Diceros bicornis minor: one gene and its partners. The protein of the gene in region 4 purifies or fractionates together with the protein of the main gene of each other region. This does not show direct contact. Links are inferred from orthologs where the notes say so. Each region holds a gene or a part of one and is shown on either strand. Other genes may lie near its edges. The genes, in order: RPP38, RPP25, POP7 and POP1.

The links.
Region 1: the proteins of POP1 (region 4) and RPP38 purify together in Homo sapiens (affinity purification with mass spectrometry; 3 studies listed by BioGRID and IntAct, with this or other methods). This does not show direct contact. The link is inferred for Diceros bicornis minor from reciprocal best matches to the Homo sapiens genes POP1 and RPP38.
Region 2: the proteins of POP1 (region 4) and RPP25 purify together in Homo sapiens (affinity purification with mass spectrometry; 3 studies listed by BioGRID and IntAct, counting the BioPlex papers as one, with this or other methods). This does not show direct contact. The link is inferred for Diceros bicornis minor from reciprocal best matches to the Homo sapiens genes POP1 and RPP25.
Region 3: the proteins of POP1 (region 4) and POP7 purify together in Homo sapiens (affinity purification with mass spectrometry; 3 studies listed by BioGRID and IntAct, with this or other methods). This does not show direct contact. The link is inferred for Diceros bicornis minor from reciprocal best matches to the Homo sapiens genes POP1 and POP7.

The regions. Positions count from the first base shown.
Region 1 is NC_080775.1:15,572,307-15,580,818, reverse strand, and holds the start of RPP38 (ribonuclease P protein subunit p38), read right to left. Parts: upstream 3,258-8,512; 5' UTR 3,155-3,257; intron 3,018-3,154; exon of another isoform or gene 2,716-3,017; intron 1,587-2,715; 5' UTR 1,530-1,586; intron 1-1,529. UniProt on the Homo sapiens protein: Component of ribonuclease P, a ribonucleoprotein complex that generates mature tRNA molecules by cleaving their 5'-ends. Also a component of the MRP ribonuclease complex, which cleaves pre-rRNA sequences.
Region 2 is NC_080744.1:67,855,375-67,862,032, reverse strand, and holds RPP25 (ribonuclease P protein subunit p25), read left to right. Parts: upstream 1-4,349; 5' UTR 4,350-4,532; coding exon 4,533-5,174; 3' UTR 5,175-5,849; downstream 5,850-6,658. UniProt on the Homo sapiens protein: Component of ribonuclease P, a ribonucleoprotein complex that generates mature tRNA molecules by cleaving their 5'-ends. Also a component of the MRP ribonuclease complex, which cleaves pre-rRNA sequences.
Region 3 is NC_080765.1:5,134,692-5,142,625, reverse strand, and holds the start of POP7 (ribonuclease P protein subunit p20), read left to right. Parts: upstream 1-4,333; 5' UTR 4,334-4,980; intron 4,981-7,934. UniProt on the Homo sapiens protein: Component of ribonuclease P, a ribonucleoprotein complex that generates mature tRNA molecules by cleaving their 5'-ends. Also a component of the MRP ribonuclease complex, which cleaves pre-rRNA sequences.
Region 4 is NC_080760.1:16,996,599-17,004,926, reverse strand, and holds the start of POP1 (ribonucleases P/MRP protein subunit POP1), read right to left. Parts: upstream 3,539-8,328; 5' UTR 3,441-3,538; intron 1-3,440. Other genes in the region: RIDA (2-iminobutanoate/2-iminopropanoate deaminase), read left to right, coding at 3,743-3,807. UniProt on the Homo sapiens protein: Component of ribonuclease P, a ribonucleoprotein complex that generates mature tRNA molecules by cleaving their 5'-ends. Also a component of the MRP ribonuclease complex, which cleaves pre-rRNA sequences.

The DNA of each region.
Region 1 (8,512 bases), on a different chromosome or scaffold from region 4:
AGGCTGGGGTCCAGGCACTGGGTTCAGCAGTGAGCCAGTTCCCCCCGCTTAAGCCCCTGTGTCCACCTGCACAGAGCTCACAGTCTGTGGGGCCCAGAGGCCGCTGCCAGTCATAATCACCAGGTGTGATTCTTTAAGAACTGGAAATGTAATGTATGCACATGATTACACATTCAAATGATACTTTCATTCTATGCCCTTCTGTAAGTCTCTCTCCCTCCCTAGACCCTAAGCTTCTTGTACATCCTTCCTAAAACATTTAATACACATGCAGCAGTACATTCCCCCTTCCTATGGTTATTCCAAGCTGCCTGCTCCTCCAGCTGGCAATTTGATGAAAACTAGGGAAATTTGGTAATGAAATTTAAAGATATTAATCCCTTAAGAAAAAATAACAAGAAGGATCCTTGCTGCGAAAATGTTATGAACCACTGGTCTAGGAAGCATATCGTGTTTCTCCCTCCCAGAGACAAGTGCATCTCTCTTCCCTTGATTTTCTTCCTCACCTTCTGCCTGGGGCTTGGCTAAGAACCACAGGGACCCATGCGGCAAAACTAAAGGAAGTGAAACAAGCCAGCCCTGGAGCAGTCTGCGGCTTGGAACTGTCCCTATTTTCAGGTAGCCAGACTTTCTCATTCCAGATCCTCCCTCATTCCAGGTCATTTGTCCTGCCAAGGCCTGCCCACCCTGAAGTGCCCCAGGCAGGATTAAGATTTAAGTCCTCTCCAATTAAACTTCTGCTTATTAGGCTGGCTACTGATGTTCAGGAACAAGTGTCTCTGTGAAGTATGTCGGAATTTAGAAGGCACCTTCTCCATGTATTGTTTGATTCTCACAGAATTCCTGTATAACTGTCCCATGTGTGGAGGACAAAACAGTCTCAGGTTAAATATCTTGCCCAAAGTCACAGCTAGTTTTCCAAATCCAAATTTTACGTGCTTTCCATCGTGGCTGCACCTCAAAGATAACCTGTGGCGTTTTAAAACATACAGATGGTTGGTCCTTACCCCAGATCTACTAAATTGGGATCCTGGGGAATAGGACCAGGGCATCTGTACTTTAAAAAGCTGCCCAGGTGAGTCTGATACAGAACCAGAATTAGGAACTGCTGATGTAGGATGGACGGCCTTTCCACACTGGACAGACCAGTAGAGGCCTCCAGTGTTCCTCCTCAGTCACCTTCTAACAGAAAATCAAAATTCAGTTCCTTGGGGTGAGAGGTCAGACCTTGTTCGTGTCAGCACTGCCCCTTCTAGAAACTCGGTGTCTGCTGCCTAACCCGCTTCCGTCACATCAGCCCCACCGCGCAGCCCTCCCATCCCCCGTCATCTCCATGCTCCCCTCAAGCTCAGGGAATCAGGAGGGAGCTCATCCAAATCCAGTGGTGACTGGCAGAGGCTGGCATCGGGTTTACGGTGATCAGGAAGACGAGCAAGACGAATATGATCTAACAGAGCTCTTGCCAAAATCCAAGTCAGTTAATGTGTCTGAGCATTGAAACAACACAGAATCCTTACATAAATACTTACAGTTACGTGCTCTGGAGAGAGAGCAAGATAGGCTTTAACTCCTCCTGTCTTCAGAATCTGGAGGGGGAGAGGAGAGCCAAGGAGTTTGGAAAAGAAGAATCTTATGTCATATTATTCAAAAACAAAGGAGTGACTGACAAGGAGAAGTAACAGTAACTCTTTAAGGTGACATACATGGCTCTCCACATCCTGGCCCCCATCGCCCCACCAGCCTCTCCCCTTAGCTGCCTCACCCTGCTGGTTACACCCCCCACTGAACCACATACTATTTAAGGAGGCCACCAGTTTCTCACCTCCACGTCTTTATACACATATTCCCTCTGCCCAGAATACCACTCCCACCCTCACCCCCATCACTGCCTTACTTCCACAAGTATTTCTGGATTATCCACAATGCACCAAGCCATAAAGTATTAAAGTAAAAACAGTCGCCTCCCTGAGCTTAGAATCTATGAGGAAGTCTTATCAGCAAATAATAATACAACGAGACGTGGCGCACATTAAGGTCAAGAAACTACAGGATCCTAAGGGAACATATACCAGAGGCCTGACTTAGTTGAGGGGATCAGGAAGGGTCTCTGGAGGCAGTGACTTTTAACCTACATCTGAAGAATGCTACCAAAGGGAGAACGAAGCAGAAAGAGTATCCCAGAGAACAGCATTAAAGATAATGAAATAAGTTCAGTGTCGCCTGGACAGAGATGCTAGAGAATGGTGAGATAACAGGAAAGGCAGGTAAAGAAGAGACAGTGAAGGTCCTTGTACGCCTTATAGTGGGAAGCGACTGTAACGTTTAAAGCAGAGCGGCAGAATTAGAAAGACATTCCAGAAAGGTCTTTGTGAATTCGGGCCTGGGAGGGTCCTGTGCCAAGACTAAAAGCAGCAAAGAGGCTCCGGGAATAGTCCTGGTAAGACATGACCGTGGCTTGCGGTAGAGCCACCGCAGAGGGGATGGACAGAAAGATATACTAGTTGAAATAGTTCAAAGAGAAAATCTACCTGACTTGAGCGATCGACTACGAGTAAGGCAGAGGAAGGACTCAGGGAGGCCTCCTGGTTTGCGGATCCGGTAGCGGAGTGGAGGGCAGCCCCAGTTCCCAGTGGCTGCACTCCCGACCCTGAGTTAACCCCTCCCTAGGGACGCCGCCCCTCTATCTGGTGCCTCCGTATTTACTATTTAGCATACGCAGGTGTGTTATGCTGTCGTCCGTCTCCACCTCTAGGTTCTGGAGTAACGAAGGGCCAGGATGAGGCTTTATCCTAGTATTTCTCGCACCCAACAGACGCTCAACTGCAGGCAGCGAGCGGAGCGGGCGCCGACGCCCGGAGGCAGGAAAATACGCGCGTCCGGGCGGGGACGGGCAGGCCGGGATGCAGGGGGGTCCAGGGGACGTCCTGGAGACCCTGGGTGTTCTCACTCCGCCGAATCCTGGGGCCGATCCCACCTGGGCGGCCCCTCCTGGCCCCGGGGCCCGGCTCCCACTCACCACCGCGGGAGCTCCGGCTCCACGTGCGCCGCGACGCGCGTGCGCAGAGCCCTCGCTCCGCCGTCCCACCCACCCCCACCCCGCCTTCCAAATGCTCAGAGAACTTCACATTTCATCCTTCGGCGTTAGCTCACTCACGATGCAGAAAGTCAGGCCACGGCGTCGCGCGGCCCGGAAGCGACGGCGCGAGACCGGATCCCAGAAACCCTGAGTTCGGCAGCGCGGCTGGAGGCTCCCTCAAGTTCTCTACAGCGGCAGTGCGCAGGCGCAATGTCTGTCTCGCGAGACCTGACGGTTGCCACGGTAACCTGCTGCCCGCGTCTCCGCTGCGTGGTCTGGGGGCCAGTCTACCGCCCTTAATGTCCTGAAGGCCGTTTGTCACAGCTCGCAACCTCTCCTTTCTGCCTTTCTGCGCGTGGCACTCTTAGCCCTCTGTCTCTCCTCGCTTTTCTGTATTTGGCTTGCCTCAGGCCCAGTGCCCCCATTTCCATCGAATCCCTGCCGAATCCCCAGCAACAGGAGAATCAAGATAAATGAGAGATAAGGGGTGGATTGAGGGGGGAAAAACGTGCTTACAGGCAACAATGTAGGCACTCTTTAGCTCCCTGAAAGAGAAGGAGAGTAAAGCCTGCTTTCAGTTTTGCGACAGCGGTTCGGAAAGCTCCAAATGTCTGCTCCAACCACTGGAGACTTATGGTTACGGATGGAGGCCCTGGGAAGTCGCGGACCACTGTAAATCAGCTGAAGACCATTTTCAAGTTCAGCCATCTGAATCTGTTTGCCCTGGGCACGAACTTAGAGGACAGTAGGTTGCTTCTGACCTAATTTACACCTTTCGTTTTCTTTTCCAGTCTAACTTAGGCTCTCTTCCTTCTCCAAACATCTTCCTCCCTTTCTCAATCACTGCGTTGCTTGCTTTGTTTCCCCTTTTTTGGTCTAGTTTCTATATTTTCAGCTTTCAACACCTACATCCTAACTGGCCATAAAGTCAACAAAACAAAAAACCGTGTTGCTTTTTGTCCAAGATGATTGCAGGTTACCCAGGGGAAAGTTCAGTGTGGTTTTTTAAATCACAGAAAGATTAAAAATAACAAAGTTACAATGAGTTTGAGTGTAACAACAGACTTTATTTCATAAAATGAATCCCATTGGTTCATTGTGATGAACTGCAAACATGTAATTCTAAATTAGTCCTTTAAGCTGGGAGACAAATAGAGACACACATGTCTAATTGAAATGCTAGAGTAATGAGAAGGAAATGTGTATAAGTTTTTGTTCCCCTAAGGGTTTAGATTTATGGTTCCAGTTTGTATAGTTAGATTTATAGCATCATCTCAATTTACATTTGCTCTATGAAGATTACCTGCCATTACATTCCATGGCTCAGGAGCCAGGCTGCCTACGCTGAAACCCTAACTTCATCAGTAACTAGGCATGTGACCCTAAACCAAGCTAATTAACCCTCTCTAGGAGGTGATAAAAATAGGGCCTGTTGTGAGGATTAGAAGAGATAATCTGTAAGATGCTTAGCACAGTCCCTAGCACATAGAAAGTGCTTGGTAACTATAACTATGATGAATCCAGTGACACCCTGAATTAAGAATTAAGTTAATAAAAATTAACTGTAGCCTCTATGATTTTAGTGCTTGTGTTCTATTTTATGACTAGCAATATAATTTTCACAAGAATTTTGCTAAAATGTAAAACTACCTTTCAAAGGTAACTTCTCTCCCATTTGTGTCACAAAAATATTACAACAAAAAAGTCAAAAGAAAAAAATTTTCCATGACTCGATTACCCCAAAACACATTTCCTCTCAGTGTTCCCTTCTAATTTGTTTCACATTTGTGCGTACATTGACATTGTTAAAATAATAATGTAGATACAATTTTGTGTTCTGATTTTCATTCCATGTAAGATTTTTTTCCATGTTTTTCAAGCATAGTTTTCAAATTGTCACTTTAACTCTTATATATTTCATATCCTATACTGAATGATCAGTTTTACTTTGTAATGACAGCTGTTAGTTATTTTATCCTGAAAAAACTCAGCCTAACACAGCATCATCACCACCACCACCTCTCAGCCTTCCAGTGTGCTCAACTGAAACTATGGGAATGGAGGAGAAACACCGAGGTGGGAGTCTCCCACCGGATAGGAAGGCCTTGTTCCAGGAGGAATTACAGGGCATTCCACCAAGATTCAGGTCAGATTGCAGTCAAGCCTTTCCTACGTGGCTAGGTGATGTGAAAGGTTGTCAGGGGGCCTTGGCGGAGCTGTCCTATTAAAAAAGAGAAATTTGAAAGACCTTAAATCAGATGGTAACAAAGCTAGTCTGAGATTTTTTTTAGTAGACGCTTTTTTAGAGTTTTTTTTTTTTTTTTTCAGAGAAGAGGCCTAATGTGATGTGATGCTACACTTTGGATTTTCCTTAAGTCCTAAACTGCCAGCACCGATTTTGAAAATAAAGTATCTATGTGATATAAAATAGGCTGCAAGTAACTGTTCAAAATATACCAGAGGTATATATAAACAGGCCCTATAATTTTAGAATTACTTAAAGTATAGATATTTATATGAATTAATCACAGAATAATTTCTGAAGCAATTTGAGAGCCAGTGGTTGAGAAGTACTTTTAAGATAGAAATGTGTACATATGTCTGTGTATATGTATTAGGTAAAAAAAAATCAATAACATTATACTTTGTTAGTTCAATATTTATTGAGTATCTTTTATGTGCTAGATGCTAGATATGTAAGAATGAAGCAACTGTTTTTCTTTCTTCCCTCCGTCCCTCCCTTTTTTCCATCCTTCCTTCCTTCCTTCTTTCCTTGCTTCCTTCCTTTTTTCAACAGAGAACAGTGTTTACTGAATTCTAAGTGTTGAGGATAAAGCAGTGAATGAAAAAAGTTCTAATGGAGGAGACAGACAATAAACAAAAAAGTAAACTATGTAGTATGTCAGATCATGAGAAGTGCTATGGACAAAAGTAAAGCAGAGAAGAGAGCAAGGGGGTGCTGGGATGCGTGACGAAAGGCCTCACTGAGAGGTGATGTGTGAGCAAAGACCTGGAAGAGGTGAGGGACTGAGCCGTGCAGACACCCAGGGAAGAGTGTAAGGGCCCTCAGGGCAGGAGTGTGCTTAGCCTGTTAGAACAGCAAGGAGGCCCGTGTAGATGGAACCCTTTGAAGGAAGGGGAGAATGGGAGGAGAGGAGAGGAGAGAAGGCTACAGGCTTGTAGACCAGACTAAAGATGCCTCTTGTCCTAAAAAACTTCTGGAGGAGGTGCCATCTAAGCTGAGTCTTGAAAGAGGAATTGGCTGGTTAATAAGGTAGGAGAAGGGCATTCTGGACAGTGGAGCGCAGCAGCTATCTATAAACCTGGAGAACAGGGAATTTAAAGTAGTTTGGTGTTCCTGGAGGAGAGTGTGCACACTTGTGGGAAGGAGAGCAGTGAAATCATGGACCACCACACATATTATTCAGAGGCCCTTCTGAGAAAGAGAGCCAAGTTATCATTTCAGACTAGATCTCGACCCTGGCTGCATCATTCCCGCTGTTTGCTCCCTACCCCACAACCTTGAAATCAGAATCTCTGGTGGCAGGAATCAGGCATCTGGTTTGTGTTTGTGTTTTTCCTTCCAGATGATTGGATGTGCAGCCAGAGTTAAGAGCTCATCTGGACATCTTGCCAATACTACCCAAAGCAATCTAAAGATCGAATGCAATTCCTGTCAAAATTGTAATGGGTATCTTTTGCTGGAATAGAAAAACCAGCATGAAAATTATTATGGGATCTCAAGGGACCCCAAATAGCTAAAATAATCTTGAAAAGGAAAGACAAATTTGGAAGACTCACACTTCCTGATTTTAAAAACATACTATAAACCTACAGTAAGTGAAATGTTACAGAGCTGACATAAAGACAGACATATAGACCAATGAAATAGAATAGAGAGGCCTCACATATATGGTCAATTAATTTTTGAAAAAGGGGCCAAGGGCCAGCCCCAGTGGCTTAGTGGTTAAGTTCAGCGTGCTCCACTGGGTGGGGCTGGGATCAGTTCCTGGGCACCAACCTACACCACTCCTCTGGCAGCAGCCATGCTGTGGTGGCGGCTCACCCCCAAAATAGAGGAATATTCGCAACAGATGTTAGTTCAGGGTGAATCTTCTGCTGCAAAAAAAAAAGAAAGAAAGAAAGAAAAGAAAAGAGGGCCAAGACCATTGAATGGGGAAAGGACTGCCTTTTCAACAAATGGTGCTGGGAAAACTGGATATCCACATGCAAAAGAATGAAGTTGGACACTTATACAAAAAGGAACTCAAAATGGATCAAAGTTCTAAACTTAAGAGCTAAAACTATAAAACTCTCAAAAGAAAACTTAGGGGAAAATCTTCATGACACTGAATGTGGCGATGATTTCTCGGATATGATGCCAAAAGCATAAGCAACAAAACAAAGAATTGATAAATGGATCTTCATCAAAATTAAGCCTTTGGTGCATCAAAGGACGCTATAAGAGAGTAAAAACAAAACCCACAGAAGGGGAGAAAATGTTTGCAAATCATAGATCCGATTTGCAATACCACTTCACACCCACAAGGATGGCTATTATTAAAAAACAGAAAGAATAAGTGTTGGTGGGCATATTGAGAAATTGGAACCCTCCTACATTACTGGTGGGAAGGTAAATTGGTACAACTGCTGTGGGAAACACTTTGCCAATTCCTCAAAAAAAAATTAAACATAGAATTACAATATGGCCCAGCAATTCCATTCCTAGGTGTTTCCTCAAAAGAGTTGAAAACAGGGACGCAACTAATGCTTGTATGCCAGTGTTGATAGCAGCATTGTCCATAATAGCCAAAAGGTGGAAACAATTCAAATGTCCATCAATGGATGAATGGATAAAGTGTGATATATACATGCAATGGAATATCATTAAGCCATAAAAAGGAATGAAGTACTGCTACATGCTACAACATGGATGGACCTTGAAAAAGATTATGCTCAGTGAAATGAGCCAGTCACAAAAGGACAAATACTGTATGATAGTCACATTTCCATGAGGTGACTTGAACAGGCCAATTCATAGAGACGGAAAGTAGAGTAGAGGTTAGCAGAGCTGGGGGAGGAGGGGATGGGAAGTCATTGTTTAATGGGTATAGCCTTTGTTTGGGAAAACAAAACAATTTCGGAAATCGTGGTGGTGGTTACATGGCATTGTGAATGTACTTAATGCCACTGATTTGTAGAGTTAAAAGTGGTTAAAAGAGTGAACTTCCTGCTATGTACATTTGACACTCCACACGAAAAAGGACTTGTCTTTGGTCTCATCCATGGCCCATCCCTCACCGGACAAGAAGCCTTGGGCTAGAGCACAGCCAAGACCCTACTGGCCTAAAAGGAATGTGGAGAACCCTGTGGCACAAGAATACACCTCTTCTTCACACCCACGTGTACCGTTTGCATTCAGTATGGTCTAAGGTG
Region 2 (6,658 bases), on a different chromosome or scaffold from region 4:
ATACATCTTCCTCACTGTAGGGAAGAACCCCCTCTCTACCCCAAACCAACTCCTACCTTTACTGGGCAGCTCAAATCATTTAAAAGTTTCTTTTTCTCTTATACTCAGGTGAGGTAGTAAAATGAGTCAGAGCACCTGCATTCAAATATCTGTGGTTGCTGCTTTCTAGCTGTGGTACACTGGGCAGGTTACTTAACCGCTCTGTGCCCCAGTTTCCATATCTGTCAAACAATGATGGAAAGGAAAATTGTGAAGATTAAATCAGAGAATAGATCTGTGAGAGTACCTGGCCCTCTGCTGGGCACTGGTTGGTGCCCGATAAATCTGAGCTCCCTCTGGCCCCCTCTGACTTTCCGGCCTGACTCTTTTGCATGCTCCCAAGCCCCTCCCAGAGAGGCTGGGACAGGACCTGGGTCTTTAGGAGCTCCCTAAAGCCCCAGGAGCTGGAGGAGGAGGAGATCTGCCCTGTGCTAGGATTTTTCTCCCAGTCTTGGGGTGAGAGACCTGTCCACGAGACGCGAGAGGCGGGATGTACTTCTGGAAGGGTCCATTTGCAGAGCAGGAGCTGATGCTGCACCAGGTGAGGCTGGGGCTCCAGCCTAGCCACTCCACCACCTCCTCTGACAGTGAAGAGAGTCTAATTTGCCCCTCGCTAGTCCCTAACATATTAGGAAAACTGCTATTTCCAAGGCTTTGCCTATTTCCTTTCCTTTTCATCAGCTTTTTTTGTGTGTGTGTGAGGAAGATCAGCCCTGAGCTAACATCCATGCCAATCCTCCTCTTTTTTGCTGAGGAAGACCCCCTCTGAGCTAACATCTATTGCCAATCCTCCTCTTTTGTTTTCCCCCAAAGCCCCAGTAGATAGTTGTATGTCATAGCTGCACATCCTTCTAGTTGCTGTATGTGGGACGCGGCCTCAGCATGGCCGGAGAAGCGGTGCGTCGGGGTGCGCCTGGGATCCGAACCCAGGCTGCCAGTAGTGGAGCGCGCGCATAAGCCACGGGGGCGGGGCTCATCAGCTTTCTTTCCCCCTCACCTCCCTTTATTTTATATTATATTGTAGGGCTGGCTCCGTGGCTTGGCGGTTAAGTGCGCGCGCTCCGCTGCTGGTGGCCCAGGTTGGGATCCCCGGCAAGCGCCCACGCACCGCTTCTCTGGCCTCATAGGCCGTGTCCCACATGCAGCGGCTGGAGGGATGTGCAGCTGTGACATACAGCTATCTACTGGGGCTTTGGGGGAAAATAAATAAATAAATAAATTATATATTATATTTTAAATAAATTTTTAAAATGTATTTTAATCACAAATAATATATGAAAAATAATATTAGCTAACATTTCCTGAGAACTTACCAGCCGAGGTTCTAAGACTTATAAATGTCTCACAACCACTTTATGAGGTAGGTTCTGATGTTAGCCCCATCTTACAGCTGAGAAAACCAAGGCAGGGGGTTTAAGTAAATTGCCCAAGGTCACATAGAGGCAAAAAGAAGCTAATGAAGCTCGGGCTTCAACGTCAGTACCTCACGTACACAGGCTGCTCCACGACTCTGTGCTTAATTTTGGATTCATATTTAGTAGTTCTTTTCTTCAAGAGGCCCAAAAACACTGGATGCGGCCTCAGAGGTAACAGAGGCAGTGTGCTGTTTTCTTGCAGCTATGAAAAAAGACCTTTACCTCTACTAACACGCACACACGGAAATAGACACACACCCCTTTAAAAAAATACCTGTGGTCCTACTGTGTGTATAGCTGGCATCCGGCTCTTTTAACAGAAAATCTTGACTGCCTTTCCACGTTTCTAACTGTCGGGGGGTGTTCACCACAAACGCTGAAATGTATTTACCCACCTTCGCACAGTTGAGCCCTCTACTCCCCTCCCAACCGCGTCCACCCCTTCCCCGGGGTTCCTCCCCGCCTCCCCGAGTATTCTCCCTTCTCCCCGCTCATCCAGGTTTCCTGTCTCACACCGCCCCCAGCCCCCCGTATCCTCACTATCTCTCCGTCGCCCCCATTCCTAGCTGCCTCCAGCATTTCTCCCTTCTCCCTGCCCCGCCCCTCGTTTCTACTTCACCGCCCACCCATTTTTCCCTGGCTACTGGCCCCTCTCCTGCCTCCGCTTTCTCTCCGCCAACCTCATTACCCTTATTCACAGTTTTCCGCCCCCCTCCCCCCGCCAGCCCTGCCACTCGGCGGCCCGGCAGGGGCGCACAGCCAGCCGGCTAGAACGCGCGCTGACAATATAATGAATGGCTTCAGCGGTAATTAGCGACCCGGCGGCTAATCACGATGTACATTTACATTTTAAGTGCTGCAGAGGGAGCGAGGAAGGGGAGGGGACCGGCGGGGGGGCGGTGCGGGCCTTTTCCACGCTCTCCCTTCACTGACTGGGGAGCAAAGTGAATCCAAGTCTTCCACCGCTGGCGGCAGTTGAAGGGGGGTTGGGGAGCGGTGCCTTGAGGACCAACCCAGGTGGACGCTGAACAACCCCACCCTCAGCCTACGCTAACCTGGAGCTCACAGCCCTTTGCTCCAAACTGCAGACCGCTGCCTATATCCTCTCCAAGTGAACGTTCAGCCTAGGCTTGCATCTCCCCGTGGACGGAGAGCTCGCTTATTCCCTAACCAGCCCGTTCTAACGTGCATTCCGGCCATTCGAGCACTTTTTCTCAGGCCTCGCCGAAACTGCCGTCTTTTACGTCCCGTAACTGCCCGGGTCTTACAGAGCCTGAGGTTCCGCGCGCCCCGCAACGCGCTGCAGACAGTCTGTGTGTCTTCTCGAGGCTGCTGTGCCTCCAGCTCCTGTGGCTGTTCTTCGTGGGGCCCGCGGGAGCTGGGGCGGAGCCGAAGTCCAGGTTTGGCGCGGAACGCGACCCTGAGGGCCCCTGACCCCAGCGTGCAAGAGATCGGAGAGGGGGCGCAAAGGTCCACCTGCTCCAGCCACTCCCAAGGGGCAGTAATGGGGTCAGCCCGGGGTTCTGAACAGCAAGGCCCGAAAACTAGAAGATAAAAGATGCTGAGGAGGCAAGGAGAGCCTGAAGATGGAGAGGGGGACCCCAGCAGCCCGGTCTCAAGACTGGGGCCCAGCTCCCCCAGGCACTGTTATGCCCAAGGCAGCTCTCCGCACGCCTCCCGGCTACGCCGCGTGGTAGTCAGCCCCACCCGGATCAGGTGTGCCCCTCTCTCTCAGTTCTGACTGTGCGTGTGCGTGAGGCGGGTGGAAGAATGAAGGGCGATGCCCCAGGGCAGTTCTAGGGAGGAGCCAGCTCCTTTTCAAACCCGCTGCCTCTCATCAGCAGTCCTTCAATCCCAACGTCACCTCTCTCTTCACTGTTCATCTCTCCCGGCAGGAGATTCGGGGCCACTCTCCCTGTCGAGTGGAGTTCCCAGAGAGGGGCACCCAGTAGCTTCATAACGCCCCCAAAGCTTCAACTTCCCACCTTCCTCCATTCTCCTCAAAACCTGCCTTCACCAATCTTCTTTCTGAAAAAGGACCCCACTGGGTCTCAGGAGGCCTAGGCTGACTGACAACGAATTCCACCTGGGAAGAAGGGATTCACGTTAGCAGGGAAGCATGCTTAGCTTACCCTAAAGCATGCAGCTCTAATAGTGTGCTTTCAGGCACGAGTGGAGGGAGCTTAACTCCCCTTGAGAAGGGGTCTCCTTGTTCTCTTCCCATTCACCTCAGGGAACAGCCTGACCCAGAGCCTCACTTCCCACACGCCAGGGGTGTACGTGGGTCCGGGAGCCTCCAGCTCCGGTCAGGCGCGCGGAGGCTGAAACCTCGGTCTTCGGCTGCCCCGAGAAGACAACACCGCGAATAGTCGTCCCAGGGAAGGCGCGGAGCGGAACCAGAGCCAGCGCCTCCCGCACTCTGCTGACCGTGCACAGGCTGTCCTTGAGGCAAGAATACCGGCTCGGGAGCGGAAGGGACGGAGTAGGGGGGGTTCCCCTGAGGAGTAGGGGAAAGAGGCCCCAGCAGGCTGCTTAGAAATCTCTCCTGGGGAGGGGACAAGGAGTAGCCTTCAATTTGAACGCGGAAGGGCTTGGGGACCCGACTTGTGGCGGCATTTGCACCGCAAACGCAGTTTTTATTTAGGTTGCCCGTTTATGAGGGTTGACTCGGAGACGACTGATGGCCATTATAGGGGAACTTCGCCTGACAACCCACCCTCGGACGCTGCCATTGCGCCCCAGCGTGCGCGCCGCTCCCACGCCCTTTTAGCTGAGGACCTGACTGGATCCGAGAGGCTGGTGAGGCTGGGACCGGGGCGGGCCGGGCCGAGTTAGGGGCGGGGCCTGGCAGTAGGGGCGGGGGCTCCCAGGCTCCCAGGCGGGGCCACCGCTAAAGGCGCGGAGCACCGGACGCCGAGAGCGCGGAGTAGAGCAGCGCCGACTGGAGAGAAGTGGGAGAGAAGAATCGCGCCGTCCCAGCCCGCCCGCCAGCGTCCACGCCTCTCCTGCACCCTTACCTCTGCCGGCCCTTGCCGGACTCGACTGGCGGCCATGCAGCCCCGGGGCTGAGGCGGCCCCATGGCGAAACCCGCGTCCCCGCGGTCCCGGCAACGACGGCGCATGGAGAACTTCCGTAAGGTGCGCTCCGAGGAGGCGCCGGTGGGGGACGGGGCCGAAGGGGGCGGCCTGAGCTCCGGCCCTTTCGCGGACCTGGCACCGGGCGCCGTGCACATGCGGGTCAAAGAGGGCAGCAAGATCCGGAACCTGCTGGCCTTCGCCACCGCCAGCATGGCGCAGCCAGCCACGCGCGCCATCGTCTTCAGCGGCTGCGGTCGGGCCACCACCAAGACCGTCACGTGCGCCGAGATCCTCAAGCGCCGCCTGGCGGGCCTGCACCAGGTCACGCGGCTGCGCTACCGGAGCGTGCGCGAGGTGTGGCAGAGCCTCCCGCCCGGGCCCACGCCGGATCAGAAGCCTGGCGACCCGGCTACCAGTCTCAGTGTACTTAAGAACGTGCCCAGCCTCGCCATCCTACTTTCCAAGGATGCACTGGATCCGCGCCAACCCGGCTACCAGCCCCCGAACCCCCATCCTGGCCCCTCATCCCAGCCGTCGGTGCCGACGACCAAGAGGAGCCTTGGGGAACCCGCAGCTGGAGAAGGCTCCGCGAAGCGGTCACAACCTGAGCCAGGTGCTGCGGAAGAGGACCGGACGGCCTGAGAACTCCCGGCTCTGGGCCACCTAGATGGACTGTATCTTACCCCCAGCGCCTCGACTTTGAGACGCACCTCCAGCCTTTCACGCCTTAGTACGCTAGAGCCCACAACTGAACACAGCTCCTCAGACTGGCAGCGTGGACCCCAAGGCGACAAGGGAGGGACCCCAGGGAAGCTTCGTGGGGTGGTTACTCCTCCACCTGTGTATTGCCTGAAGACGCAGAACTCCACCTTCAGCTTTTCTGAGCCATACTGGGACCTTCTTCAGGGAAGGAATGGTGGGCAGGGGGACTCGAGCCTTGCTCAGGGACCCCCAGCATTCAGGTGGGGGGCTCCGAGTGTGGAAGCCGAGGAGAGCTCTTGAATCACCCCCACCGTTGGCAGCAGAGGGCAAGGGGTGAGAAACTGATTGCTTGAGGGCAGGGGAGTCTGAGTTGTGGGGGGTCCTATCCTGCCCATCACGGCAGGACACAGTTTCTTTTCTAGTTTTCCTTCCCCTGCTTTTAAGGATCATCCTAGGATCATGGTGGCAGGAGGCATCTCCATGGGCTCTAGCTCTTTCAACGTCCTCCCTTCCCCAAGCTGGCCCAGAGGGAGAGACCCAGGACAAGTCTCCATGCCTCCTCCCCTGAGCCCCACAGCTAGAGTCTTGCTTCCAATAAAACAAACAGAAAAATGGCTCTGTCCCCATGTTTTTTCCTAACCACTTGCTTGTGCAGACACTGCTCTGGCCTGCCCCCTTGTGTCTCAGTCCCCTCCAGCCTGGAATCCTTAGCCTTTGGAGTATTCAGGGTCAGGCACAGAGACTGGACAGCTTCAAATTGTTGCAAGGGACACATTACCTGGTCCCTGTCTTCTCCCTCTCTCCCAGCGCTCCCTGGCTGGCTCTAGCCTCAGGTGCTTGTCACCGGAAGGGAGCCTTTGTCCCCTTGTGCATTACTACTAAGGGAAAGGGAGCAGCAAATTGCTTTTCTCGGAGGAGAAGGAAGGCCAGCATTGATAAACTCCTGGGGGTCACTGCCAAGGGTGGCAGACCCTGCTGGGGTCCCTAAACTTGCAGCCTCTTGCCAATAGACATCCTTATCCAGAAGGCTGGCACAAAGCCCTCTGTACCCATGGGTAGGATCTCCCCTTCATTGCTCTTTCTCTGAGAAAGGACAGCACACCCTTGGGAGAGGGGGAGGAGAGAGACTGAGCACAAATCCACTGCTGGAAATTACTATTCAGCAGAGAAGCTGGGACTTGGGCCGTGAATCACTGCAGGATCCCTGATAAGCTGTGGCCTGCAGCTCTGCACAGCTGTCTGTTGAGAGATAACAGCCTCATAAGCCTCTCTGCCCAACTCCAAGTCAACTGGGGAGAGTGGGGGAAGTGCTGTGTGCTGGAAGAACTCTAGCCAGTAAAGGAGGGGGCACATAGCTCCAGGATCTCAGAAGCAGACCCCACCCCATGCAACTCGACAGCACCCCTGGAAAGGAGGAGATGGGG
Region 3 (7,934 bases), on a different chromosome or scaffold from region 4:
GACAAAGGACCCACTCCCCAAATCCCAGCATCCTAGGGTGAAATGCAGCTTCTGAAACCATCTAGAGCGGGGCTGACCTCCCCTGGCATGGGCATCTCTTCTACAACAGCCCCAGCTGGACATTTCTGGTGATGGAGCAGGCACACACGGCCGGCAGAGAAGAGAAGTCTGCTGAAAAGCTCTTCCTTTCACTGGATTCAAGTAGGCCTCCCAGGACAGCAGAATAAGGTTAATCCTTTCTACATTACCACCTTTATGTAATTTGGCCAAAACATGAACCTTGAAGCTGTTACACTAAGTGAAACAAACCAGTGACAAAAAAACCAATATTGTACGATTCCTCCTATATGAGATTCCTAGGAGTCAAATTCAGAGAGATAGAGAGTAGAATAGTGGGTGCCAGGGCTCGGGGGCAAGCAGAGTGAAGAGCTGATGTTTAATGGGAACAGTTTCAGCTGAAATGGGGAAGATGAAAAAGTTCTAGAGACAGATGGTAGTGATGGTTATACAACAACGTCAAAGTATTTAATGCTATAGAACTGTACACTTAAAAATGGTTAAAATGGGGTATATTTTACCACCACTAAAAAAAAAGTTTAGGGAAAAAAAGACATTTGGGGATAGCAACTGCAGACCTAAGTCTTCCCTACTCCAAGAAAAACACCTCACATTCCTTCAAACAAACCTGTGCAGAGGCTGTTCTAAGCCTCCTCCAGTTCACTTCAAGAGAGGGACTTCTAGAGGGACAGACGAGTCCTGTGGGCAGGGAAGGCTGCTGTGGGGACAGGGGAACAGAAAAGGGGACCACTCACCCCCCGCCCTTCCAGGGAGCGGTAAAGGCGGCTCAACGCGGTGCTCTCCACTTCTGGCCTTCCCCCTTCTGTCCTGGTTGTAAAGAGCAAACTGAGGAGAAGCGGCTCCCAAGGCAAGAAGCAGGGACACTGCAGAGGCAAGGGAGAGGCAGTCAGTGCAGAAAGGAAGCAGAGCAGCAGCTGGAGAGAAAGGCCCCGTCTCTGTGCAGGCCCAGCCACAGGAGGGCCTGGTCCTAGAAGCTGCTGGCTGCCTGGCCCTTCCTCAGGCTAAAGGAAGTACACATGCTGCCCCACAGTTTCCACCCCTCCAAACAGGTGTCTTTTCCACATGCTTCCTCAAAGCCTCCACCGGGACGACTCTGCTCCCCAGGAGACATCTGGCAATATCTGGAGACGTTTTTGGTTGGCATGATTGGGAAGTGCTCCTGGCATCTAGTGGGTGGAGGCCAGGGATGCTGCTAAACATCCTACGATGCACAGGACAGCACCCCGCCCCCAACAGAGAATTATCTGGCCCAAAATATCAATAGTGTCACAGCTGAGAAACACTTCTCTAGGCCCCAGCACAGGTAATGCTTAGTCTCTGTTTATGGGGAAGAATGGAAGACAAGAAAAACCAAATTTACTCTAGTTCATTCTCCCTTCTGAAGAACAAGGGAATCATCCCTAATTACACTGTCCCATGAGAGAAATCTGAAATCCTGCCAGGAGGGAAATCCTCGAGAAAAGAATAAATTAAAAAAAAAGTGACTTAAGTTTCTCTATCACAAACTCTCAAAGCCAAGTGTTTGGATCCCTTTCCAGTGAAGGAAAGAGCAGGAGGGGTGGCAGGTAGAGGACTGGGGACAGCATCCTTTCCAGGCTACTTGATCCAAGGGTCTCCTCACAGGCTCATTCCAGCTTCGCCCCCAACCCTCAGCCCGCCCTACGCATCTGTCTGCCTAGTCCATCTGCTCCCTCCCAGGCCGCGTTTTTTCTCTCTGGCCTCAGTATACCCTCACTCCCCTTGCATCTGTATTGCTATTAAAAGGCTGCCCCCTGCCGGAGCCAAGGGGAGAGGACACACACTGGTCCTGGTGCTCACAAGAGGCTTCAGGGAACAGGAGCAGGGCCTGTTTTCTGGGGTTCAGAACTCATGGAAGAAGGAAAAGATCCACAGACGAAGCGGTCCCGGTACACACTAAGTAAAGAACATTATTTCCTCATTCCATCACCCCTAAAATTAGCCCCGATCCAAAGCAGTGTGCCTTGGCACGGAAAGGTATCACTATTAACAGAAGTAGAGGCCTAAATCCCCCAACGTCTGAGCAATGCCCAGCCCAAAGCCTGTTGGAGGTGACTCCACCCTTTCTCAAGATGGAAAGATTCTCCATGCGCGGTAGGATGAGAACTCTGAGGCTTAAAAGGGGTGCAAGCCTGCATGCCTCCCGGCAGGTCAGTTATCCCAGCTCTCCACTCTCTGAGACATCATGACAAATAACGCCCCTTGGCATCTGTCTGCTAGTTAACAGTTTTCAAAGCGCTTCCACACTTTACCTCATTTGATCCCTCTGCCCACTTGCCCAGTCTTGGGCTCCAGCCAGGTAAAACAAGGAAGGGAGGCTGCAGCTGCCGGGACGGGGGACCCCGATGGCCCCAAACACTCTATCCGAGGCTGGAGAAAGGGCTGCATAAGCAGTAGGAACCACCCTAAACTCGCAAGCATACTTTGTGAGTTTTAAACCACTTTAAACTTCTCGTTAGAATTTTTTAAATCCTTCCTATAGCCACCCCTTCTGCTCTCCTCTGCTCTAAAATGGGGCTCTTTTTTCCATCCTAAACTCCAACCACAGAAGTAAAATCGAAGGCAAACTGAGATCCTTTAATTCATCAAATCGCACACAAGACTCACGCTTCCACCGGCTGAAAAAGGCAGGCCAGAGGTCTAAGAACTCACTTGACGGTAATCACCAAAGAGACTCTTGAGGACCCTGGTCCCCAGGCCACAGCAGCAACACAAAGTTCAGATCCATCCCAAACCCTTCCCAATGCCATGAGAGACCCACAGTCTAGGAAAGAAAACTGGAGCCAGGGTGAGGGTGGGGGGCCTGGGGCTGCACAGGGATCAGCACAGACAAAAAAGCCAGACAGCCAACTCCCGCACTGCGAGCGGGGAGTCAGGGGACCCGCCTGGTGGTACCCATGGTGTTTCAGCTGCAGAGATAAGGGGCGGGAGGCTAAGAAGCAACCGGGGTGTCAGCTCGGAGGGGCGGCGGAGAGGCTGTGCGGAGGCTGCTGGTCTTTTGGGAAAGCAGCCTTAAGAAGCAAGAGGGGAGTCAGATCGGCGAGGGCGGAGGAAAGAAGCGGCCAACAAGTATTGATTTAGCATCTCTCAGGGCCGGGCGCGCTGCTGGACCAGACCTGACAGCTTACTGGGAATTCTAGCCATGACCGGGTAAGAGGTGCGAGACGAGGGTCTCTTTAAAGTTAACTTGAAAAAATATTCAAGGCAAAGTGTGCGGGGCCAGGGGGCTGCTGCATCAGGGGAGAAGGGCTGGGAAGGGCCCAGCCTGGCGACGGGGAACGCCGAGGTGAGGGAGGAGACCCCAATGACCAAGCACTAACGCCGCTCGCTGGAGGGAAACTGAGGTGAGGACCCGGCCGGAGAGCTCGAGGGCAGAGGAGAGGCTCCCCCGGCAGCCGAAGCCACCGAACGCCCGGACCGCAGCGCCGCAGGACCGGCCGTCGCCGACAAGCCCCCGGCGGCACGCTGGGGAGTCTCCGGGGCGCGCCGGGCCCTGGGGTCGGGCCTGGCGGGGGCCGGGCGGGGGCCCGAGGGGCGGCCGTTAGGGGCGCGGGGGAGGGCGGCGGGCGGCCTGAGGACGGCGTGCCCTTCAGGAAGGGGGCGGCGGGGGCGCGGGGCGACTGCGGCCGCCCCCCAGGGACCGGCCTCCCGCGGGGCCCGCCGGCAGGCTCGGGCGGGCGGGGCCGGGGCGGGGGCGGCCTGCGGAGGGGCCGGGGGAGGGTCCGCGCCGGCGGCCCGCGCGCCGCCCGCCCGCTCTGGCTCTCGCAGGCTCGGCGCGGCCGCCGCGGCGTCGGGGGCGGGCCGGGCGGGGGCGCGGGGCCCGAGCGCTTACCGCGGCGGGGGGCGGCGGCGGCGCGGGCTCCGGGCCGGGCGGAGGGCGGCGGCGGCGGCGGCGGCGGCGGCGGCGGCGGGGGAGGGGGCGCTGGCGCTCCCGCGGCGGCCGCTCCTCTCTGTTTGTGTTTGTAGCAAGATGGCTGCCCGCCTCGCACCACGTGACGCGGACGCGGGGCCGCGGGGCCGCCCCCGCCGCCGCCGCCGCCGCCGCCGCCGCCGCCGCCGCCTGCCTCCGCGGCTCCGGCCGCTCCGACCCGCCGGCCTCGCGCGCTCCCTGCCTGCCCAACGGGCGCGGCCCGGACGCCCGCCGCCCCCGGACCCCCCGGCACGTGACCCGGGAGCCCGGCTCGTCACGTGACGTGGGGCCGGCTGCGGCCCCGGGGGGAGGGTGGGGTCCCCCGGGTGCACCCTGCGCTGCCCTTCGGCACGTGACGCGCGACCATCGCGACGGAGGCCGCCGACAGTGACCTCGCCCGTCTCTCCCGGCCAGTCGACTTCCTCCAGGGAGCCCGCTTGGATTGAAGGAGACACCGGACACTCCAAGTGGTGTGTCCATCCGACGGCCTGGGATACATGAAATAAGTGAGGAACCGAATGATTTAGAAATAGTCTGAGGTGGTACTGGCTGGTAAGAGCTGGAGTTCGTCTGGCTCCGCCACTGACTAGCTCCTGGACTTCGGGGGCCAAGGAATTGATGCTTTTGAGCCTCAGTTTCTCTTTTATAGTGAGATGTTAATGCTGCTTTCCGTCGCATCCCCGGCCCCCATTCCACTCCGATCCCGGGGTGCTGAAAGCATTTAGAATAGGTGAATGTGAAAGGCTTTGAAAAGAGAGAAACTACTATGCAAATATGCGACGTAGATTGACACCTCCTTTGTTTAGAAAAGAGGTTTTTGAGAATGACTTTTCCGGAACTTTTTAGGATGAAAAAGCTTTGTGTGTGTTTTCATCATTTTCCTTGGAAGTCATTCCAAAATGTATATTCTACGTCCCAGCTTCCTAAAGCAGCGGTTACCAAATACACAGCAATCCTCCTCCAGACAGAGGAAGGTAAGTTCTGACCTGGAACTTGAGTCCCCACGGGGGACAGTTGTGCCTTAATGGAGCGCAGACCGCGGGAGCTCCCACGAAGGTCCTTTGTCCTGCGCCAGGTACCCCGCAGGCTTCTGTGCCCTTGGAGTTTTAGCGTCTGCGTTTTTCAGTTCCCTCCAGTTTCCTGCAGCCAGGATTCCTGCTCCAGTGTTGTCAGTCAAGCTGCTTGCTCACAGGCTAGAAAGGCAATTGTTTAAAGCAAGGGCTCCAGTGCTGGTTCCATCCATTACTCACTGTGGCCTTGGGCACATTCATTAATCTCTCTCTCCTCTGGATTGTGTGATAAAGCACTTAACACGTGCTTGGCATAGGGCAGGCACTCCACGAATGTTAGCTAATAGGGGCTCCTGGTTCCACAGGATCCACAACCTTCAGGCTGTTAACACTGTTTGAAAATGTATCAACACAGACTTCTCCCAGGATAAAGTTCTTAACTTTATGACAGCTGTTTTTTCTTACTCAAAAGCTTTTGTTGTTGCTTTTTGTTTGTTTTTTAACTTTTCTAGATTGTGTTGGGGGTGGCTGAAGTTGCCGGCAGCCTAACCTCTAAACGAGGTTTTAGCATGTTTTAATTGTTAATCAGCAAATATGAGATTGTAGATTATGGTAGACAAATGGTACAGAGGAAAAAGAAGGGGACCTCTGTAGAGTGGAAGCAACTGGGGACAGTTGTGGCCTGTGCTGAGCTGGAAAGAAGGGCAGGATTTGGGTAGATTTAGGAAAAGTGGGCATGGGCTTGAGAATAGCCACAATCCACCTGGTGGGAGAAGATGACGAGAGTTGCCAGTTGGATGAGAAGTGAAGTGAACTTCAGTTGAGGGCCTCGAATGCCACCACGAAAATGTTTTTTCTTTTTTTGGTGAGGAAGATCAGCTCTGGGGTAACATCCGTTGCCAGTCTTCCTCTTTTTGCCGAGGAAGATGAACTCTGAGCTAACATCTGCGCCCATCTTCCTCTATTTTGTACATAGGATGCCGCCACAGCATGGCGTGATCAGCGGTACATAGGTCTGCGCCCAGGATCCGAACCTGCAAACCCCGGGGCGCTGAAGTGGAGCATGTGAACTTAACCACTACGCCACCCAGCCGGACCCACGAAAATGTTTTTGATCGGAGAATAGCACCTACTAGATGCAGCAACACAAGAAGAGCACATTGGGACTCCGGGGCCTCGGTTCCCTCTGGACCAGCTTGTGACCCTGGAGAAGTACTCTCCTTCACTGTAAAGTGGGAATGCTGCTGCTGCAGATGACGCTAGAAATTGAATCATAGGAGGGCCCTCTGAGAAAGGAAACTATGAAATCAGACTCTTAATGTCCCATACTGAACTTAAAAATTACAAAGAAATCACTTGGACCTAAACTATTTTTGTTTATTCAGGTGCAACACTGTAAAATGTCTCGATCTGTGTTGTTTTAAATTTGCAAGCTTTTGAACTAAACAAAGAGATTTGGTTAGATGATTAACGGAGATGAAAGGGAGTTCTCCAGGAGGACTAAACAGCTGAGCTCTGCCCTTTTTCTTTCTTGCTTTTTATTTTTTTTGGTGAGGAAGATTAGCCCTGAGCTAACAGCCATTGCCAACCCTCCTCTTTTTGCTGAGGAAGGTTGCCCTGGGCTAACATCTGTGCCCATCTTCCTCTACTTTATATGTGGGATGCCGCCACAGCATGGCTTGATGAGCAGTGCGTAGGTCTGAGCCTGGGATTGGAACCTGCAAACCCCAGGCCGCCGAGGCTGAGCACGCGAACTTAACTGCTATGCTGCCGGGCCGGCCCCCTGCCTTTTTCCTTAATGGCAGATTCCTCTGTGGTGTTCGCCTTGGATGAAATACAAAAAGATAAGGACCATCTAGTGTCAAATTGGTTTATTACAGAGCCTGGCTTCACCCACCTAAACTGTGAACCTTCATATTTATCTGGATGTCAAAGTTTGGAAAACGTATTTTAGATATCATGAAAAGACACACAGTCTGAATCATGGAGTGATAGTTCATAAACTGTGCTTACTGTTAATTATCAGACAAATGGGCCCTAAAATTAATATATTGCATTCAGAATTACTTTCTGCCATGAGCTAAGTTCTTCGGTCAACCAAACGTAACTGCTTGTCTAGTCACCAATGACCTCCACATTGCTGAGTCCACTGGTCCATTATCTTATGTGGCTTGTCAACAGCATGTGACACAGCCGGTCACTCCGGTCCAGGAAGCGCTTTCTTCACCTGGCTTCCAGGACACTGTATTCCCTTGGTTTTCCTCCCACCTCACTAGCTGCTCCTGCTGAGTCCTTTGCTGGTTCCTCCTCTTCTCCCGTATCTCCCAGGGCTCAGTCCTTCCAGACGTATCGGTTGTAACAGGAGGGACTGCACAGGATATGAGCCCCACTGCTAGACATTCCTGCCTCAGCTCAATCGTTGCTTCCTTTGGAAAACCTTAGATGCTCCAAGGTCATATTGGCTGTTCTTCTTTGGGGGTCCACCAAATCCTGTACGTGCTCCCTCCTGAGCACTGGTCACACTCTCTTGCACATCTCATTTGCCTTCCATGCTAAACTATGAGCTGCTTAGCACAGTATTCTATGATGTCACCAGTATTCCAACAGCCTAACAGGTCCCCTCAATCCAACTTTTATTGTTGAGTGGTGGTTCATGGTATGGCTGTAGCACAGTTTGGTGAACCAGTCAGCCATTGAAAGACACTTGGGTTGTTTCCAGTTTGGGACTGTTACAAATAAAACTGCCATGCACATTTGTGGATATGTCTTTAAATGCCCAGGAGTGCTGTTGCTGAGTTGCATGGTGAGCGTATGTTCAGTTTTAGAAGAGACTGCCAAACTATTTTCTAGAGTAGCTGTGCCCTTTAACGTCTCCAAGCAGTGTATGAGAGATCCAGTTCCTCTGCATTCTCGTCAAT
Region 4 (8,328 bases):
AACGCAACAGCTACAAAGGCAAACTAGTACAGGTGTGCTGTACTAACACCTCAAAGAGCAGGTAGCAATGCCACCGGTGACATCATTTTCCAGACTAGTGAACACTCCTTGGTAAAGTCCCCAAAAAAAAAGGTACAATCTTGCCTTGATTTATTGCATTAAAACCATGCAACCAATATTTTGTGCTTTTATGTAAAACAGAGTTAGGTACTGGGCTACCGTGGGACTTTCTTGCACACTGCAGGATGTCTAACCTCCCTGGTCCCTGCCCAATAAATGCCAGTGGTGTCACCCCATCATTATGCCAACCAAAAACACCTGCACGAACTTCCAAACTGCTATCCCAGGATTTGCACCACTCCCACCAAGTGCCACTGAATTAACTACCACCCATTCACCTACCTCCTTTCCAACGCAAGACTTCGTATAAAATTAAGAGTAACTTATGTGGTGTAGTGTTTAAGGACTTTCAGTTTGGAGTTAGAAAGACCTAAATTCAAATACCTTCCTTAACACTTTTTAGCTATATAATCTTAGGAAAATTCCTTTCCCTCTTTGAGCCTCAGTCTCCTCCTCTATAAATAGGAATAATCACAAGGTTGCAGTGAGAATTAAATAAGGTAATGTACATAACACACTTAGCATGGGGCTTTGCATAAACTAAGGGCTCAGTTTATGTTAGCTATTACTCTTAAATAATAAAAGAAATAACAGAGATTTATGTCATTTCACTTTCTCATTCCACTCTGCTTTCACCTAAATCAAAAGCAACTACATCTACACTCAAAAACATTTTTCAAATTAAAAAATATGTAGGTAGTAAATGGAGTTCTGCAGAACCAGTTGGCTCGTGAAGGAAATGATTCAGATCAGTCTGCATTAAGAACCATTCAAAATTATTTCACAAAACCATTTAGTCCACCTACTATTACCTCCTTGAATCAGAACTTCCTGAGCAAGAGAGAGCACTACCTGGGAACCCTAGCTCTGCTCAAGACTAGAACGGGCCAGAAGCAGGCTGGGACTCAGGGATTAGGGTAACCTTTGGAAGTCACATCTCTGAGCTTAGGTTCTAGACTAAAAAATTAGCAGACTGAACTAGCAGTGGTCCTCCAACAGTTCTGACAGCAGAAGAGAATGAATATAGAATATATCCTTATGAAGTCTGAGGATTTAGCTTAAAAGAGGTTCCAGAAGGAATCTTAACTTCTACCTTAACATTCAAGTGAATTTTACATCTATTCCTAATATTCACAGTTTGTATTTGTTTTCATATTCATTCAGTCAAAACTTTAATGAGCACTAAATATGTGCCAGGCTTTATAAAACTGTTTTCCCTCCAAATATTCAAATAAATTGGATACGTCCTGTTTCTCCTATAGTTTAGTATCTCCTGGTTGGTCAGATACACCACTTGGCATAGTAGACTCCCGTTTGAGAATCTGGGAATTAACCAGGTAATTTCTCATTTCTTCTCTAAAAAGCTGGCGATTCAGACTCGATATAAAATCTGCCTCAAGAATACAGGTATCGGGCCAGCCCCGTGGCTTAGTGGTTGAGTGTGCATGCTCCGCTACTGGCGGCCCAGGTTCGGATCCTGGGCGCGCACCGATGCACCGCTTCTCCGGCCATGCTGAGGCCGCGTCCCACACACAGCAACTAGCAGGATGTGCAACTATGACATACAACTATCTACTGGGGCTTTGAGGAAAAAAAAGGAGGAGGATTGGCAATAGATGTTAGCTCAGAGCCAGTCTTCCTCAGCAAAAAAAGAGGAGGATTAGCATAGATGTTAGCTCAGGGCTGATCTTCCTCACAAAAAAAAAAAAAATACAGGTAACTTGTTTCACAAGAAATATTTTACACAAGCTGAATTATCTGTAATGCTCCAAGAGAGCTCCTAATTTAAAGAATCATATGGCGAATTATTTCGTAAATAAAAAGCGTCTCCTAATTCCCATTTAATCAAATTTAACAAGCTTTTGGGTACCTACTATGTGCATAATAGTTTTGGACTGTGTGTATACCAAATTAATATAGGAATGTGGCCTCCTTCCTTAAAGAATTTGGTCATGTTAGGCAGCTAGCATTTATTGAGAACTTTATGTGCCAGGCACTATTCTACATGCCTTCCTCATTTAGTTCTCACAACTCTGTGAGGGAGGTACTAGAACTATCCTCATTTTATAAATGAAGAAACTGAAGCAGAGAGAGGCAGCATGACCTGCCCAAGGCCACTTGTGATTGTGCTGGGATTCAAACCAGGCAGTTTGGCTCTACTCACTATTTTTAAAACACAAAACAATTATAGAATAAGATCACATATAATAAAACACTAAATTTTGCAGTATAGCACAATAGGAAACTGAATAAAGGAAAGAAAAAGTGTGAATCTGCAGAAAAAGTCAACAAGAAAATAGGATTTCAGTTAGTTGGAATTTGGATAGGGAAGAAAGAGTATTCAGGAATCTACTGTGTGAATTCGGGAGTGAGGACTCTGGACAACTAGAGTGGGAAGGGAGGACAAGAGGCTAAAACTGAGTATTTGGCAAAAGGAGGTCAGACTGGAAGGTCTTTTATTCCATGCAGAAAGCCCTAAACCAATGAAAAAGCTCTCAAGACTCTTGAGCCGGAAGTAAGAAAGCCAAAACCTTAGTAGTACTAGGACAAAATGAGGGGGACTAAAAAGGATATTCTTATATTATGTTTTAGCAGCAGGGGAGAACAGGGATCTTACCTCGCTTTTTCACTGTTGCATCTCCAGTACCTAGCAGAGTGCCTTGCACAAAGTAGAAGCCCAATATACATTTGTTAAACGCACACGTGCACGCGTAAAGGAAGGAGTGAGGCGTGCCTATTACGCATACATTAACAGAATAAGAAATATTTAGCCAAGTACCACCTCTTCTGACACAGCATGACTGAATATCTGTGAAGAGACCAGCTCTGGGGCCATGTGCTGGACCAAGATCAGTATCTTCCTTTTTTGAAATCAGACCCCAGTCACCAAGGCTCTGCTGAGATCGAAAGGGAACGCGTAGAGACCTTGTAAAGCTCGAGGAGCACTCAAGACAAGGGAACATGGGAGGGGCGGGAAGGTGGACAATGCCCAGATCTCAGCGTGGTCCCCTGAATGACCCGTCTTATTCCTTTAGGGTGGCAGGAGAAGGGTGCAAGTCCATTCCCAGGGTGGCCTCCGCCCGGCCGCACAATGCGGGAAAATGACAGACGCAGCGGGCTCGAGCGCAGGGCCGAAGGAGGTACGGGGCCAGGCAGAGGGGCCCAGGCGTAGGCAGCAAGGGAAGAGGCGGTCAGTGGGTCTGAGGGAGAGAATGTGGGGAGAGGAGGCGGGCCAGAGAGCGGGCGCCGGGCTGGGGGCCGCCACACACATTCCCCGCAAACTCGAGGACCCTCGGGGACACCAGCCCATCATAACCTACCTGACAGGAGCTCTGGGGGAGGAAGCCAGGGCTCCCAGGCTCAGAATGACAAGCTCTGCGACAGCCTCCTGCAAAGCGACTTGCGCAGCGAGCGAGCTGGAACGCGCATGCGCCAGTCCGGCCGCTGCCTCCACGTGGCCTGGAGTCTCACGGGGACTACAACTCCCAGAATGCCGAGTGAAGCCGCCGGGGAGACGCGTTTACTGCGGAGAGTCTGTGCTGGGCTGGTTAGTCTCGAGCGCGAGTGGTGGTGGTGGACGGAGTTGTTTTCTCGGAAGGGCCTTAAGAGAAAAGGACTAGTCATGTCGTCCTTGATTAGAAGGGTGATCAGCACCGTGAAAGCCCCAGGGCCCATTGGTCCCTACAGGTAATGGGGCATGTGGGAGCGCGGACGGACTCCGGGCGTGCGGGGTCAGGGGTCCCGGACTGACCACTCCGGGTCAAAGCTGGGGTGGGCCTCGGGGTCATCGGCCAACCTCGTCGACGCGCGAGGAAACTGAATCCGGGAAAGGGAGCGTGCACCCGGAGACCCACAGCGAGTTAGGAGCCCCACTGGGAGCGGGGGACTTCGCCCCGACCTGGGGCTGCCTGGCTTCGCAGCCCAGTCAACCATACGCTCCTTTCGGTTAGAAGCGGTCCGTTTTTTGTTTTGGGACTGTTTTTTTGGTAACAGCTTTATCGAGATATAATTCACATATCCATAAAATCCACCCCTTTAAAGTCTACAATTCAGTGATTTTTTTTTATTGTACTCGCAAAGTAGTACAGCCATCACCACTATATAATCCCAGAACATTTTCATCACCCCAAAGAGAAATCCTATATCCATTACCAGTCACTCCCCGTTCTCCTCTCCCCCCAGCTGCTGGTAGCCACTAATCTACTTTCAGTCTCTATGGATTTGCCTGTTCTGGACATTTCCTATAAATGGACCTACAATATGTGATCCTTTGTGAGTGACTTCTTTCACTTAGCATAATGTTTGGTCTAACCCTCTCTTAATTTTAAGGAGTAATCCCATCCACAGATGTGGGTGTCCTCCTGGGGAGAGCCGAGTTCTTTTCACAGACATACTTAGCAAATCCCTGCACATCTACTGGAGACACTGGTTTTTAGGACACATGTAAATGCATTGTGATGTTTATGAATTCATTGCCCATGCTTATTCCCACTAATAAAATCAAATACAAATCACAGCAAAGATCATTTTCTAAGATGGCCTGACATGCTCTAGCTAAATATATGTATACTGGTCAGAAAGTCTGCCCTATGTACATTTATTTCCACTTGTCAGAAGCACTGTTAAATAGAAAGCTTAATTCCCTTTTTTAAAACTTTGTTTTCTTTTTTTTTTTTTTGTGAGGAAGATCAGCCCTGAGCTAACATCCATGCCAATCCTCCTCTTTTTGCTGAGGAAGACCAGGCCTGAGCTAACATCTATTGCCAATCCTCCTCCTTTTTTTTTTCCCTTTTTCTCTCCAAAGCCCCAGTGGATAGTTGTATGTCATAGTTGCACATCCTTCTAGTTGCTGTATGTGGGATGTCGCCTCAGCATGGTCAGACAAGCTGTGCGTCAGTGCCCTCCCAGGATCCGAACCTGGGCCGCCAGTAGCGGAGGGCCGGCACTTAACTGCTAAGCCACGGGGCCGGCTCCTAAAACTTTGTTTTCTTAAAATGTCTCCACTTGAAAACCATTGGATCTTTTCATATGCATCGTTGGACACTTTTTTCTTAATTTTTGTTATTTTTAATTTTTCAGTATACACTGAAACCTTTTTCCATTTTTCCTTTTTATTTATTTATTTATTTATTTATTTATTTATTTATTTATTTATTTTTTGGTGAGGAAATCAGCCCTGTGCTAACATCTGCCAATCCTCTTTTTTTTTGCTGAGGAAGACTGGCCCTGGGCTAACATCCGTGCCCATCTTCCTCCGCTTTATATGGGACGCCGCCACAGCATGGCTTGCCAAGCAGTGCGTCGGTGCACGCCCAGGATCCAAACCAGCGACTCCGGGCCACCGCAACAGAGCGCGCATACTTAACTGCTTGCACCACTGGGCCAGCCCCCATTTTTCCTTTTTAAAATATAGTTTATGGTATCTGTTCACTGTTACAAGAACTACGCTGGAAAACTTCTACAGCTGAAACATTTGCGCTATGACAGACATGCACTGAGTACCTGGTGCATGCCAAGCACTGCAGGGCATACAAAAATGTTTAAGAAGCCATCCAGTGTGAAAGACATTCACGCATATGAGGGAAAGAAAAAAACATTTTAATTTAGTGCATGCTGTATGGCATGCACCGTGACAACCACCTTCTCTAACTCCCATCCCCTTTTGTAAAAATAAAACTGAAGCTCAAAATGACCTTGTCCAAGGTCAGACAGTCTATAAGTGACAGAGCTTGATTTGAACAAGCCCTAGCTCCCTCCTCTATACCACACTGCCATGAGAAATAGCACTTATATGTGGCAGAACTGTATTTATTATAGTAGGGTTACAAATAAAATGCAGTGGGAGCGAGGAAGCAGTGGGGAGGGAAAGTGGCAAAAGAAGAAAAGAAATTGATGCTAACTTGGGGCAGAGGGAGAAAAAGAAGATTTAAGAAGGCTCCTTGTTGGGTCCGGCCCCGTGGCTTAGCGGTTAAGTGCGCACGCTCCGCTACTGGCGACCTGGGTTTGGATCCCGGGAGCACACCAACGCGCCACTCCTCTGGCCATGCTGAGGCGGCGTCCCACATACAGCAACTAGAAGGATGTGCAACAATGACATACAACTATCTACTGGAGCTTTGGGGAGAAAAAGGGAAAAAAAGGAGGATTGGCAATAGATGTTAGCTCAGGGCCAGTCTTCCTCAGCAAAAAAAAAGAGGAGGATTGGCATGGATGTTAGCTCAGGGCTGATCTTACTCACAAAAAAAAATAAATAAATAAGAAGGCTCCTTGTGAGAGGTAGTCCTTGATTTGGGTTTGAAGGTTGGGTTTGCCATTTACAGTACTGTTGTGAAGTTTGATTTTTAAATTACTTGGTTAAGGACTTCAACAGGAAGTCATGAGGTGAAGGGCATTCCAGAGGGAGGGAGTGACTTGAGGCATAGAGGTGGAGGAATACATGGCATAAAGATTTTTTGGAGGAAGGTTTAGTAATCCAAGTACCACTCTTAGTCGTTTTTTTATTTTGCCAAATCTGTGTACCACCTATATTATAATTTACTTAACACTTTTCTTTGAGATGGCTCACTTTATTTAACAGATTTAAAAAGGAAACTTTACAGCAGTACTCTAAATAGAAAACAACCTAATAGAAGGTAACAGTAAAAAATAAACTCAATTAAATAAAAAAAGTTATTAAATTCTAGCTGCTTACTGCAGTTGGCTCAGAACCCAAAGCCTGCTCTCTTTTTGTTAAAAGTGATAGGTTTCTTGGGGCCAGCCCAGCAGTGCAAGCAGTTAAGTGGACGCCCTCCGCTGCGGCAGCCTGGGGTTCGCCGGTTCTGATCCCGGGCACGCACCAACGCGCTGCTTGGCAAGCCATGCTGTGGCGGCGTCCCATATAAAGTGGAGGAAGATGGGCATGGATGTTAGCCCAGGGCCAGTCTTCCTCAGCAAAAAAAGAGGAGGATTGGCAGACGTTAGCACAGGGCTGATCTCCTCGCAAAAAAAAAAAAAATGATAGGTTTCTTTAACTTGTTTTCTAATAATTTTTTTTTCTCCTTCATGTAATCAGAGGATTGAAGTCATAATTGCGAACATTTATTGATGCTTACTCAGCACTGGGCACTGTTCTAGGTGCTTTATGTGCCCAATTACTATTACAGTCCCTATTTTTCGGATGAAGAATCTGATGTATGCAAGGTTTTGCTCAAAGTCACACCACTGGGAAGTGGTGTGACAGAATTTAGGCCGTCACACCTAAATTCACCTTAGGCTGTGAGCTCCAGAGCTCGATCTTTAATCATTCTGTCCCTTGCACAGAAGAATTGAAAAAGCATTGAAAAGGGAATCATTCCCTTACTGTGATTCAATGTTTGTGTATTACCTGTACTTTGTGAAACACTGGTTAGGAGCTGGACTTTGAACTTTTGTTTTGCCTCTTGCTAAAAATTAGCTTTTAGCAAAGTCTGGATTATGGTGGTTTCCAGTGCTAGGCTGAAGAGTATAAACTTTATTTGGTATGCAGCGAGGAGCCATCAAATGTTTTTGAAGAGGAATTGACATGATCAGATCTCTTTTTTTTTTTTTCTAAGGAAGATTGGCCCTGAGCTAACATCTGTTGCCAATGCTCCTGTTTTCACTTGAGAAAGATTGGCCCTGAGCTATCATCTGTGCCAATCTTCCTCTGCTTGTATGGGGGTCACTGCCACAGCAGGCTGCTGTGAGTGGTGTACGTCCTCTTCCAGGAGCGAAACCCTGGGCCACCAAAGCGGAGTGCGCCAAACTTAACCACTAGGCCACGGGGGGGAGGGGGGCCACATCTCTTTTAAGAAGAGAATTCAGATAATTTGAAGTAGACAATAAGAATAGTTAAGGGGGTATTACAGTAAAAGTAAAAATCAATAATCTTTCCAATTTCTGCCCTGATCCCTCTCCCTCAATCATCCACTGGTTTTACTTTAGAACAAAAGCAACCCTTAACAAAAACAAAAACAAAGTGATTATAGAGCCTGGAGCATACACCTTCCTCAAGTGTGTACGTTGTTCAAGAAAGAAAGCATGACAGTGATACCCCTGGCTGACTCGGAGGTGAGAGTCAACTATCTTTATAAAGCTGCAAGCAAAAAAGGAAGGAATCGTTATATGAATATACTAGTATGACTTGAGAAAAGCCATCAACCAGCTTCATTGTGTGGTGACCTTCCAGGACATTGTGCCTCTTCTGCTTTT